Drosophila melanogaster: one gene and its partner. Changing the gene in region 2 together with the main gene of any one other region gives a genetic interaction. Each region holds a gene or a part of one and is shown on either strand. Other genes may lie near its edges.

What was found. Genes that interact genetically often act in the same process or in processes that back each other up.
Region 1: of PolZ1 (region 2) and PolD3, changing one enhances a phenotype caused by changing the other (phenotypic enhancement), as found in Drosophila melanogaster (one study listed by BioGRID).

What each region holds. Positions count from the first base shown.
Region 1 is NT_033779.5:15,254,281-15,257,942, forward strand, and holds PolD3 (DNA polymerase delta subunit 3), read right to left. Parts: upstream 2,025-3,662; 5' UTR 1,984-2,024; coding exon 688-1,983; 3' UTR 539-687; downstream 1-538. Other genes in the region: Uxt prefoldin-like subunit, read left to right, coding at 2,371-2,417, 2,469-2,910; yuri gagarin, read right to left, coding at 3,133-3,306, 3,519-3,662. UniProt on the Drosophila melanogaster protein: Accessory component of the DNA polymerase delta complex and possibly the DNA polymerase zeta complex. As a component of the delta complex, participates in high fidelity genome replication, including lagging strand synthesis, DNA recombination and repair.
Region 2 is NT_033778.4:7,791,788-7,799,663, reverse strand, and holds the start of PolZ1 (DNA polymerase zeta subunit 1), read right to left. Parts: upstream 6,040-7,876; 5' UTR 5,969-6,039; coding exon 5,837-5,968; intron 5,779-5,836; coding exon 5,549-5,778; intron 5,492-5,548; coding exon 5,247-5,491; intron 5,190-5,246; coding exon 4,942-5,189; intron 4,884-4,941; coding exon 4,439-4,883; intron 4,370-4,438; coding exon 4,253-4,369; intron 4,191-4,252; coding exon 3,786-4,190; intron 3,729-3,785; coding exon 3,644-3,728; intron 3,579-3,643; coding exon 3,492-3,578; intron 3,434-3,491; coding exon 746-3,433; intron 681-745; coding exon 1-680. Other genes in the region: Gapdh1 (glyceraldehyde 3 phosphate dehydrogenase 1), read left to right, coding at 6,544-7,542. UniProt on the Drosophila melanogaster protein: As the catalytic subunit of the DNA polymerase zeta complex, plays a crucial role in translesion DNA synthesis (TLS) and various DNA repair mechanisms. Lacks an intrinsic 3'-5' exonuclease activity and thus has no proofreading function.

The DNA.
Region 1 (3,662 bases), on a different chromosome or scaffold from region 2:
CACTTACATACATATTATGTATTTGCTTGCCATCGGGCAGCCTGACTGTAAGCTTTTAATGCTTAAAAATCAGATAGGAATCAAACGCAATCACTGCAGAAACAGAAAAGCAAAAACCAAAAACCAAAAACCAAAAATTAAAAATGAAAAACGAAAAACCAACAAGACAACAAATGAACAATTTAAATTAACGAATATTCGAATTATATGAACAAACAAGTGTTTTTTCAAACCTCGCCTTAATTTTTTAAAGTGTTTTGAAATACGATAACGATAGCGGAGATAACGAGTTTCGATCTCGAATCGAAATCGAAAACAACAAATACAAAACCAAAAACAAAAACACGCACTGATAAAGCATAGGCCAGGCAAAATTCACACCGACACGCCCACACACACACACACACACACACAATCAGACACGCGAATCTATATAAATAAAGAAATACAAATTACAAACAAGATACTCAAACAACTTCTAGCAGCTATAAACAAATGCAATAAATTCTTTTTAACAACAAACGCAAACTGTTTTTTTCATATGGGCTGATGGCTATTTTTTTGTAAACCCATCATAAAATATATATTATTTTCAATAATCATAAATAAATTTATTAAAAACATTAACTGTTTCCATGCTTAACAATTAACCCTTACTTTAGCAACATCTCCATGCTTTGCTTTCATTTACTTCTTGGAAAAAAAGTTCATAATGCCAGCTTGTTTGGTTTTCGGCGCATCCTTTCCAGCTTTCGCGGCTGAAGGCGGTGACTTCTTTTTGTTGACGGGAGCAGCAGCCTTTGGGGAAACCTTTTTGTTGGCAGGCTGGGCTTTTGTTGGTTTACGCTGCGTAATGACGAAGCCATCTTCATCCAGATAGGTTTCATTGGCCGGTTCCGTATCCATTTTCTCATCCAATGCGATGGTCTCTTCATCGGCGGACTTCTTGGGCGGCTGCTCCTCGTCCTCAGAGTCGCTGATTCGTCGCCGCTTGGAGGACGAGGCCTTTTCCTGATCGGAGTCGTTGTCCGACTCGATCACCTTCCGCCGCAGCATGTCCAGCTTTTCCTCCTCGTCGGACGATTCGGCACTCTCCTCGTCGAACAGTTGCATGGAAGTGTTTGCCGTTGTTGGCTTTTTGGTGGGACTGGGGGATTTCTTTTTCGAGGCTTCCTTTTTGTTTGAATTGGAAGCATCTTTCTTCGATTTATCTTCGGATTCCGGTGGCGACTTCTTGGCGCCTGCCGGTTGCTTCTTAAAGAAGTTGTCCACGGTGCCGGACGTCGATTTGCTGGGCGTGGCTTTGACATCCTTTGGCTTGCTGGCCGCCGCTGTGAAGAAGCTATTAATGCTACCCTTTTTGGCTGCTGCAGGCTTGGCTTTAGAGGCCTGTTCCTTGGGCGAGGTCTTCTTATCCTCCGGAGAGGACTTGCTGGCCACTGGCTTTTCCGCCTTCGACTTTGCTGGCTCTGATTTAAGTGAAGATTTTGAAGGCTCCAACTTAACCGCAGACTTTGATGGCTCCGATTTAGTGGGTTCAGATTTGACTCCATTGTGGGGAGTCGTCCCATTTGCACTGGGCACTATCTTTCCCGCTCCAGGACGCTGCTCCACTTTTGCCAACTTCACCTCCAAATGCTGCATGGGCTTGAAAATCGCAGCCGGCGCTTTGGTGCCACCGGCTATTTTCACACTATACAGCTGAGACTCCGCATCCTGGACTTTGGCCAGCCAATCCTGCATCCTGCTCTCCAGCACCACAGAGTACAGATCTTCGCCGGAATCGGATCCTTGCGTTTTACGCTTGCCATGGACTAGAAATCTCTTCTCGAATTTTGTGGCAGGTTCCTGCTCTTTGATGTAGGCCTCCAGCACATCGTTCACCTCCTTGTAGGACAGTTTGTACTCCTCCAGAAGATCGGTGACCAGCACACAGCGATCGAAATCGATCATGCAATCGTCGAGAGCCTTTTTAAGCGACATTTCGACAATTTGTTTAGTTAAAATTGCGCGAAATCGTATTGCGGGCGTGCCAACTTATGTGACTAAAAAAAGTGCTAAAACTCACCAGCAAAATAATGAATACTGAATTCGAAAATTTGTGACTTTGCTATGCATATTGTCAATGTAGAAAAAGGCGTATTTATTAAAGTTAATTAATTAATTATTATATATATTTAGTTGCTTTTTTTTGCTTGAATTATGAGCTTATTAATAGACTTTACATTTAGCTTAAATATAGCTAAATTGAAACAACTGCTATCTATCGATAACATCTACTTGCCGCTATTGCAAAGATAAGAAGAAGAAACGAGAAGTAAACAAACCAGATATCCTAATAAATTTTGATTTCTTTTTAATGCCCAAACAATGCAAGTAAATCCAAAACACAACACAGAAGCTCACAGACAAGCCGAGTAAGTGATAAAAATACAAGTGAATGCAGCAAGTGTAAGACCCAATTACAGGCAGGATGCCAACAAGGCGCGAATCACCCAAATTGAGGAGTTCATCAACGAGGTGCTGAAAGAGGATCTCAGAGAGCTGGAAAAGTGCATCGGGCAGTACAACGAGGAGATCATGGAGTACGTCCAGCTGAAGAACACCCTCCAGACCTTCGACACCCACCTACCAGATGGCTACAAAACGCAAGTCAACATCGGCAGCAACGTATTCATGCAGGCTCGCGTTCGGAAAATGGATAGCATTCTGGTCGATGTGGGCAAGAATGTGTTCCTCGATATGAGCATTCCAGATGCGGAACGCTTCTGCGACACACGCGTAAAGATCTTGACCAAGCAATCCGATGTCCTGCGCGACGAAAGCGTCAAGAAAAGGGCTCAAATCAAAATGGCCCTCATAGCAATCAGCGAAAGAACCAAACTTATTCAACAGGATGAAAGCAAATAGCTTCGCTGCGTCCACAGAAGCTGAAAGCATCTGTATCCTTGTTCGTATCAGTAGTGATCACATTATTACCAAGATTACACAAGCACTTAGTTTTTATTTTATACCACAATTTACAAAGACAATTTACAAGTTACGCGCCTCCAAAGTGTTGATGGCATAGAGATTTTGGGTGAGAACGATTTTTAAATGGAAGGAGGAGTTGCATGCAAATCCTGGCGACTCCTACGACTGATCCTGTGACGATCGAGTACGCCGCAATATGGATTGGGCCACCGGTTGCCCAATTCCAGCCGGACTTCCTGAGATCAAGGAGTTGCAGTACTGATCGTTCATAGTCTGATTCTGGTTAAAAATCCGCTGCGAGGTGCTGGTCAAGTTCTGCAATCGCCTGGCCATCTGCGGAAGTCACCAATAGACACCAGTTAGACAATAAAGTTAGAAAGTATTATTTTAATTCCAGCTGCCCGTTTAAGAAGTCCAATGGTTATCCAATTCGTCAAAATTTGGAACAGGCTTGTTGAAAATTAAGGAAAAATTCAAGTTTTACATGGTTTGGTGGCATTTTGGCATATAAAGATTTGTGAAAAATTTGTATATTTCCAACTCACATCGTTCCCCGCCTCGGGATTGGTCAGACCGCCACTCTTCGGAGGTGGACAACTTATCGCCGAACTGGACGCGCAGTTGACCGCCTGCTTCACTCGTTTTATCTCCGTCTCCAAGAGCTTGTAGTCTCGGAATAGATTGCGATA
Region 2 (7,876 bases):
GATTTCGACCCGGCACAAGAACGAACATGGAGTCCGTGTCGCCATAGACGACACGCACCTTCCACTCCTCGTTGTTCTCCACTAGTTTGATAGCACGCTCCAGGGTCTCCCGTCCTTTGGAAACTACAGAATCGCCCACTTCCACTGAAGGCATTCGGCCACTGAAGTTAGCGGCGGTGTAGCCATAGGTAACATTGGCCATCAGCTTAAGGCCCAGCTGCCGTGAGTGAAGGATCCGCTGAAGTGCAGAGCTGTCCTTATGGAGCTTCATCGACTGTTTGACCATTTGGCGCGTGTCCAAGATCTCGGTGAGCATGCGCGGCAGGATGCCCTCGCGCACTTCACGCTTCACGAACACAACGCCGCATGGCGAAACAGTAACCAGATCGTGCTCCAGCAACTTCTGCAGCATCTGCCGCGAAACTCGGAGCTGCGACGCGCCAAATTCAAAGGGCGAACTTCCACCCAGGTGCTCTACTCTACCCAAGCACGTGGAGAAGCAGTAGTTGTAGGCGATGATCATGCTGGGGTACAAGCTCTGAAAATCAAGCACGATTAGGGGATCGGCATAGAATCGTGACTGCGGTTCCATTATTAGCGCCAAGTACTCGGGAGCTCTCATATGAGCGCGAGCCTGGACGCTGGGTGAAAGTGGCACCAGGTTCTTTGGCTTGGCGATTCTATGAAGACAGAGAGTTCAGGGAGGATGCAACATATTTTGCCTGCGCTCAAGGGTTACACTCACCTCAGCATCATGCTTTCCACGCGAAACTGTGAGCCGCGCGACAGCACCTCGTAGAACTGAATGCCAATGAGCTTGGCCATTTCGCTAGTCCGTCCCAGTAAGTCCAGCTGATCCAGGAGAGTTAAGGTGCCACGCACACGCTCCAAGTAATATTCCATTACTATCCAGCGGGTGCAGGGTGAGCCGAACCATTCGGTGAGGGATTTGGCAGTGTGCCAGGGACATCTCTTATGCAAAATGTGGTACATTACGTTTTCGAAGGTGTACGACGTCAGTGCAATCTCGGAGCGCATCAGGCGCCATACGTCCAGCAGAATGCGGCCGCAGAGCTTCATTTCCACATCCAAATCGGTGAACTGCTCCCGATCCTCGTCCACAAAGTCCCGGACCTTCTGTGTGGGCACTCGGGACAGCAGAGGAGCGATGTTGAAGCACAGATGCTTGGCCCGATCAATCACATAGCCCCAAGAGGACATCTCGATTTCGTACCCTGCGTATATGTCCGCATCCCACCGTTCACACAAAGCCAGCAACGCCTCAAATGCCTCCGCTTCACTGGTCACTACTTGCACCTCAATATCGCGATCTATACCATGAAAAGGTCCTTCACTTAGCAAATCCTGGACAGTGTTCACCATTATATAGCCGCAGGCTTTGCTAGGCAGCTTTTCATCCGGCAAACTGTGTTCGATAGCATAAAACAAACACCGAATCTCGTCGTGCATCGGATCTGGTTGGAGATCACCTCGCGTGGACACAAACACCTCTAACGTTATGATTGTCAGGTGGTTGCAATCAATGTCGGCTTTGGCCTGCTGCAGATTCTCCAAATTAACCTTGAACCCGAACGTGTTGTCCAAGGTAGCGTGGCTAAGTCCAAAGCTGAGGTCGTGCTGCCTATCCTGGCTACTGCCCTCTAACTGGCGCAGAAAGGAACTACGATCTAGCTCCGCCTGGGCCGCACTACTGGAGACGCTCTGTTCGCTGGACTGCGAGCTTGGTGGTTCCTCGTCCTGGCTTCCTATGAAGCTGAGCCTAGTTCCGCGCTTAAGGCGACTCTTTCCTGTTTCTCTGGCTTTGCTACTGGTAGGGGTTGCCTTGCATTTATCCTTAGCTTGGGACAAGGGCGTTAGACTTAGACTGCAATCGAGTTCCTCACCAGCATCTTCATCGCCACTTCCGCCATCGCCTTCCTCAGCCTGCAGCATCATAGTGATCTTCTGCCGCTTGATCTTGATGGGGCTGTCTATGTCATCAGAGGACTTTTTTGGTTCCTCTCGTTGACGAAGGAGTTCCTTGGCTTTCAACCAGATCTTGGCTTCCTGCCAGGTGGGTGCTAGTTGTGCTGGCTCGATTGCTATTCTTTGTTGCGTGCTGAAATACTCCCGTACTTTTTGTTCTCCCCGATGTCGCTGCAACATTGCCAGGCCACCAATGGCTATCAGTTGCCGACGACGCCAGGAGGCCAGGCCACGATCATTGCCCAGTATGCTCTGGAAGGGATCACAGTCATTTAGCTTGTTCCCCGGAATGTGGAGCACCAGGAAGCCCACCTCCGTCACCTTGCTCACATCGGAGGGATTGCTGTAGTATGGCTTTTGGAACTCGTACTCGGGTATGTCCATTTTACGGCTACCGCTAACCACTTCATCGTAGGATGGAGGCAGCTCCAAGGGGGCAATCACGAACGAGTTGCTATCGGGAGATGGAGGAGCAGACCTAGGAGAATCCATATGTATCTCGGGGCTATCCAAGAAGTCACTGAAGACCGACGGACTGTTCACAATCAGCGAATGCTCATAGAAACTTCGCATCAGCTCCGGTGTGTTGCTCTCATTGCTTTTGGGACTTAGCTGAGGAGTGGTCTCAGTCTCAGGGGGTCTTATGCCTGAACTGGGAGTAAATTGTTTGTTCAGCAACTCCGACCGAATGCTCCATCGAAGGCGTTTCAAGTTGGGTGTTTTACGAAGTTTGGTGACTATATAATCGCTTTCCGTGTCGGATTCGATAGCCTCATCATGGCATGGACTAAATGTGATCTCCTCCGTGGAGTTTGCTGAATCTCCAGGCGAAATACCAGCTGGTTCCTGTGGAATTAGCTCACGTTGTAACTTTTCGTCACAGCTTCGTGCAGTTTCATCAGACTTTTTTGGTTTACTTTCGAGATATTCGATTTGTTCAGAAACAGAGTTTTCCTGCTGATGCGGACTCTCTGAGTTAGATGAACTATCTTTTGTTGCTTTTTCCAATGCAACAGTTCCATTCATGCTTGTTTTAGTATTTTCTTTGGGACTTTGGGATAGTCTGGCTTTCTTTTGAGGTCTATCCAAACTTGTAGTCGTCACTCGTGGCCCAGTTGTTTGTATTTCGCTGGAACACTCATCTGGATTTGCCGAATTAACCTTATGGCGAGCACTGCGACGCGGCTTCAGCTCATCCAAGGCACTTCCTTCTGACCTGTGGGGTCTCTCTATCTCACAACCGGCCTTGGGTAGACTTTCTATATCTTGATTCCGAGTGCTCCATCGCGTCTTTCTTACTACTTTCTTTGGTGGTAATTGCTTGCCGTCCTCTGTTTCGAACATGTCGCTCAAGCCAGGATTTCTGTCCCTCGGCGTAAGGGAACAAATAATGTGTGTTTTGTCCAGATTGCTAGTTGATCGTCTGGTACTCCTAACTGGAGTACAACTATCGGGAAAACAATAATATAAATCGCCTTGCCATAAAGGATATCAGTTAACCATACTCGTTCTTTAAGAGCACAAAACTGTCCTCGAAACTTTTCCGTCGCATCTCCGACATGGCTAGTTTTTTGCGCAATGAGATTTCTGGCCTACGAACAAAAATGTTGGTCATAGAAATGTTGGTACATATGATGAAAACAAAGAATTTGATTACCGAAGTGTTCCCGTTCCGGTTCCTTGGTCTAGCTGCAAACTGAGGCGTGGATTAGATGGTCTCCCTGCGAATTCATCGTTGCTTTCTGCAATTGGTTATGATTGCAAAAAAAATTCGTGTGATCGTTATCAATTCTACCCACTCTTTGATGAACTGCTTCCAATTGTCAAAGCCAGCGGCGCATATTTCTTGGCTGCACTGGTTTTCGGAGTACGTGGCGATTTGGGAAGACTTTTCTGACCTATTGGCGTTGTTGGAGTCTTTGAAGGACTTGACTTTGACTTAGAGCTGATCGATTTAATGGGGGTCCTTTGTAGGCGATCATCAGCACCATCAATTTGGGGCAGTTTACTAGATGCTTTCAGTTCCTTCGATTCCGCAGGCTGACTTTGTGTTAACTTAAGCAACAACTCATCGACATCGTCTAGGACGGTAGAGAAGTCATGTCGGGTTTCTTGGTCGGCATCCTCGTCGGAGTCAACATCTTCGTCGAAAAGAGCAGCAGTAGCTGCGGTCTCCTTGTCCAACAATTCGGGTGTAAGTTCGACTACAAAAAGAGATCAGTGTAAAACATTTATTAAAAAACAACTCCATTTCACAACAACTCACACTTTTTATGTTGCGACAATGGAGCCAACGAACTGTCTAAGTCCACATGCGATTCACTTTCATTCTGCTCCTCCAACAGCTGCAACGCGTCCAAAAGTTCCAAATCCTCCTCCCTCACTGAAGCAAGGAGAAAACAACTGGTTTATACCAAAGTGCGAGTTGTAATTTTGGCAACCGTGTACTCACAGGTGGCATCATGGGGTATCGCTCCATGAGGCTGTGTGAGGCTCAGTATTAGTTCCTCATCCACTACAGTTTCGTCCAAGTCATCGGACTCATCCTTGGAGGTTGACAAACTGACACTGCTGCTGTAGCCGCAGGTAACATGGTTTTGTATGAAGGAAGCATTAACCAGCAGTTGCTGCTGATCCTGTGAGCATTCCTCCGGATAAACGGCGTTGGCTAGAAGTTTTTGCAAGTTAAACCTGCGTTTCTGTGCCTTTGTGCCGGGCATGGTGGTCTGCATGGTTGCTTGGGGAAGGATTGTCTGATCCGACAACGTTTGCTCGGACAGTGTGGACTGCTCCAGTGTCATCAGCTTGCTCTCCAGAGCGGTGCGGTAGAAGATATCGCTTTCGGCGATTTCAATTTGATGCCGCTCCTGTGTTGGCGGTAACTCCAATACTGGCACCTACGATGGATGGACAAGGCTGTAGGATTTATCAATACAAGATGTATTCCCGGATTACCGCTTCAGCCTTCTCCTCATCGCCAGCATCGGTGTGCTTCTCGACAAGTTTCTGTCGGCGCAATTTCTCATCATTCCAGATGGCCTCGATGCCGGGGTTAGTGTGGTTGCTCTTACTCTTCGCCACCAGCTGGAACCGATTCAGTATGAAGTTCGAGCTGACATCCACCTCTAAAGCACTGCAGGCCACTTTCTTAGCGGTTGTGATGTCCAGAAGCTGCGCTTGCTTGACATTTGCATAGGGGATTACTAAAGGGTTAGTTACGGGTTAGTTAGGAACTTAAATAGATGATGTATCCAGCTTGCCGTCATCGTCATGGTTGCGCCGGAACTTGAGAACCTCCAGCGGGACATGCACATAGCTCATACCGTACAGATTGTAGTCGATCATAAACTGCAGAATGTAGGGCACATGCGACTCGTGCGGACTGAAGTTCTTGCTCAGAATGGCGCCGCTTTGGAGAAGGTTGGCGGCGCGGCGTACGAACCGGGGATTGAACATGTAGATCTTGAGGAACTGGTGTTCCACTCGATGGTAGCCATAGAAGGGTCTGTAAAGAGAGGTCGGTTAGAGATTTACGCCAAGAAGTCGTCCAGAAAGAACTCACATGCCCTTGACCAGCTGAATTTTGAACACATGCTGGGCGTTGGAGCTGCCTTGACCCAAGGATATGTTGATGGCCTTGTCCAGGTGCATGGCCATCTGCAGGATGCCCCGCTCCAGGGACTCAAAATCCTTCTTGTCATACGGAATGTATAGATAGGGGAAAACTCCGTGTACATGCATGCAGGTCTTCTGGCCTCTGGAGTTGCCGCCAAACACTCGAATCACTGGCACCTGGAAGTGGAATGGATCGTTATACCAGTTTTTACTGTGGTGAAATAGACCGGCTCACCCGCTTGATTTCTTTGCCGCGCAGCTCCGAATAGCACGGATCCATTCCGAACTGCGGCTTCTCCATATAGAAATCCGCGATGACCAGCCGGACGGAGTAGACTCCATCGATTGCCTCTCCTGCGGCTGCCATTTTCGCCAAAACTCAGATTCGTTTTCGCAGAGCTATTTGTTGTCAATTCAATTCAAACTAGAGTGACCATGTATCGAAAAGTATCGATCTATCGATTGTTGCTTTTTGAATTCAAACTAAGGGCAAAAACGTAAAATAAATATTTTTAAATTGAAAGAAGAGCTCTAGAACTTAAAGAACTAACTTGGCAACAATGTTAAGAAAAACTTTAGTGCAAGATGAAGGAATTTTATACTTGACAATGCTAATTTTTGTATAAACTTAATTACGTAAAGGGTCCTACAACCCATATATATCATTAGTTGTTAGAGGCTCTTTTTAAGGCGCTTATATAATCAAACCCTTTGTAAAAATTAAAGTTTTAAATGGAATTCTAATCGATTTATTTCACATTAGCTTTATTTAAGTGTGACCTACGCAGAAAGCTAGCGAAATACTCATCAACCCTCCCCCGCCATCGCAGCGCCATTCTCCTAATTTGCGAAAAAAGCTCCGGGAAAAGGAAAAAGCGGCAGTCGTAATAGCGAACTGAAACTGAACGAGAGTAAAAGTGAAAAGACAGCAGGAACTCAGCCATGTCGAAGATCGGAATTAACGGATTTGGCCGCATCGGCCGCTTGGTGCTCCGCGCCGCCATCGATAAGGGCGCCTCCGTGGTGGCCGTCAACGATCCCTTCATCGATGTCAACTACATGGTTTACCTGTTTAAATTCGACTCGACTCACGGTCGTTTCAAGGGCACCGTTGCGGCTGAGGGCGGATTCCTGGTGGTGAACGGCCAGAAGATCACCGTGTTCAGCGAGCGCGACCCGGCCAACATCAACTGGGCCAGTGCTGGAGCCGAGTATGTGGTGGAGTCCACCGGAGTGTTCACCACCATTGACAAGGCGTCCACCCACTTGAAGGGCGGCGCCAAGAAGGTCATCATCTCGGCCCCATCCGCCGATGCGCCCATGTTCGTGTGCGGCGTTAACCTGGACGCCTACAGCCCCGACATGAAGGTGGTCTCCAACGCCTCGTGCACCACCAACTGCCTGGCTCCCCTGGCCAAGGTCATCAATGACAACTTCGAGATCGTCGAGGGTCTGATGACCACCGTGCACGCCACCACTGCCACCCAGAAGACCGTCGACGGTCCCTCTGGCAAACTGTGGCGCGATGGACGTGGCGCCGCCCAGAACATCATCCCGGCCGCCACCGGAGCCGCCAAGGCTGTGGGCAAGGTCATCCCCGCCCTGAACGGCAAGCTGACCGGCATGGCTTTCCGCGTGCCCACGCCCAATGTCTCCGTTGTGGATCTTACCGTCCGCTTGGGCAAGGGAGCCACCTATGACGAAATCAAGGCTAAGGTCGAGGAGGCCTCCAAGGGACCCCTGAAGGGAATCCTGGGCTACACCGATGAGGAGGTGGTCTCCACCGACTTCTTCAGCGACACCCATTCGTCTGTGTTCGACGCCAAGGCTGGCATTTCGCTGAACGATAAGTTCGTCAAGCTAATCTCGTGGTACGACAACGAGTTCGGTTACTCCAACCGCGTCATCGACCTGATCAAGTATATGCAGAGCAAGGACTAAACTAGCCAAAACTATCGTACAAACCCGGCGCCCAGCAGCTGGTCGGGAATCACTGTTGCATAATCCGCAAGGGGCGCAATTGAGGATGCTTTTTTTTCAAATGCACAAAATAGCCATAATTACGCAAAGCTACATATTTATTGTTGTTGAATAAAGTATCGCCCTGTTACTGTATTTAAATGCCAGCTATTTGAAAAATAAAACTTGTGCATCGAATGAAGAACGTTGCTTGTGTAAGCCCAAGGGCGTGTGAAGGTTATATCGGGCGGACTTGCTGAGATATGCAGTGAATACACAAATAAGTATCTGTGCTTCGCCTGGGAGAGTCATCCCA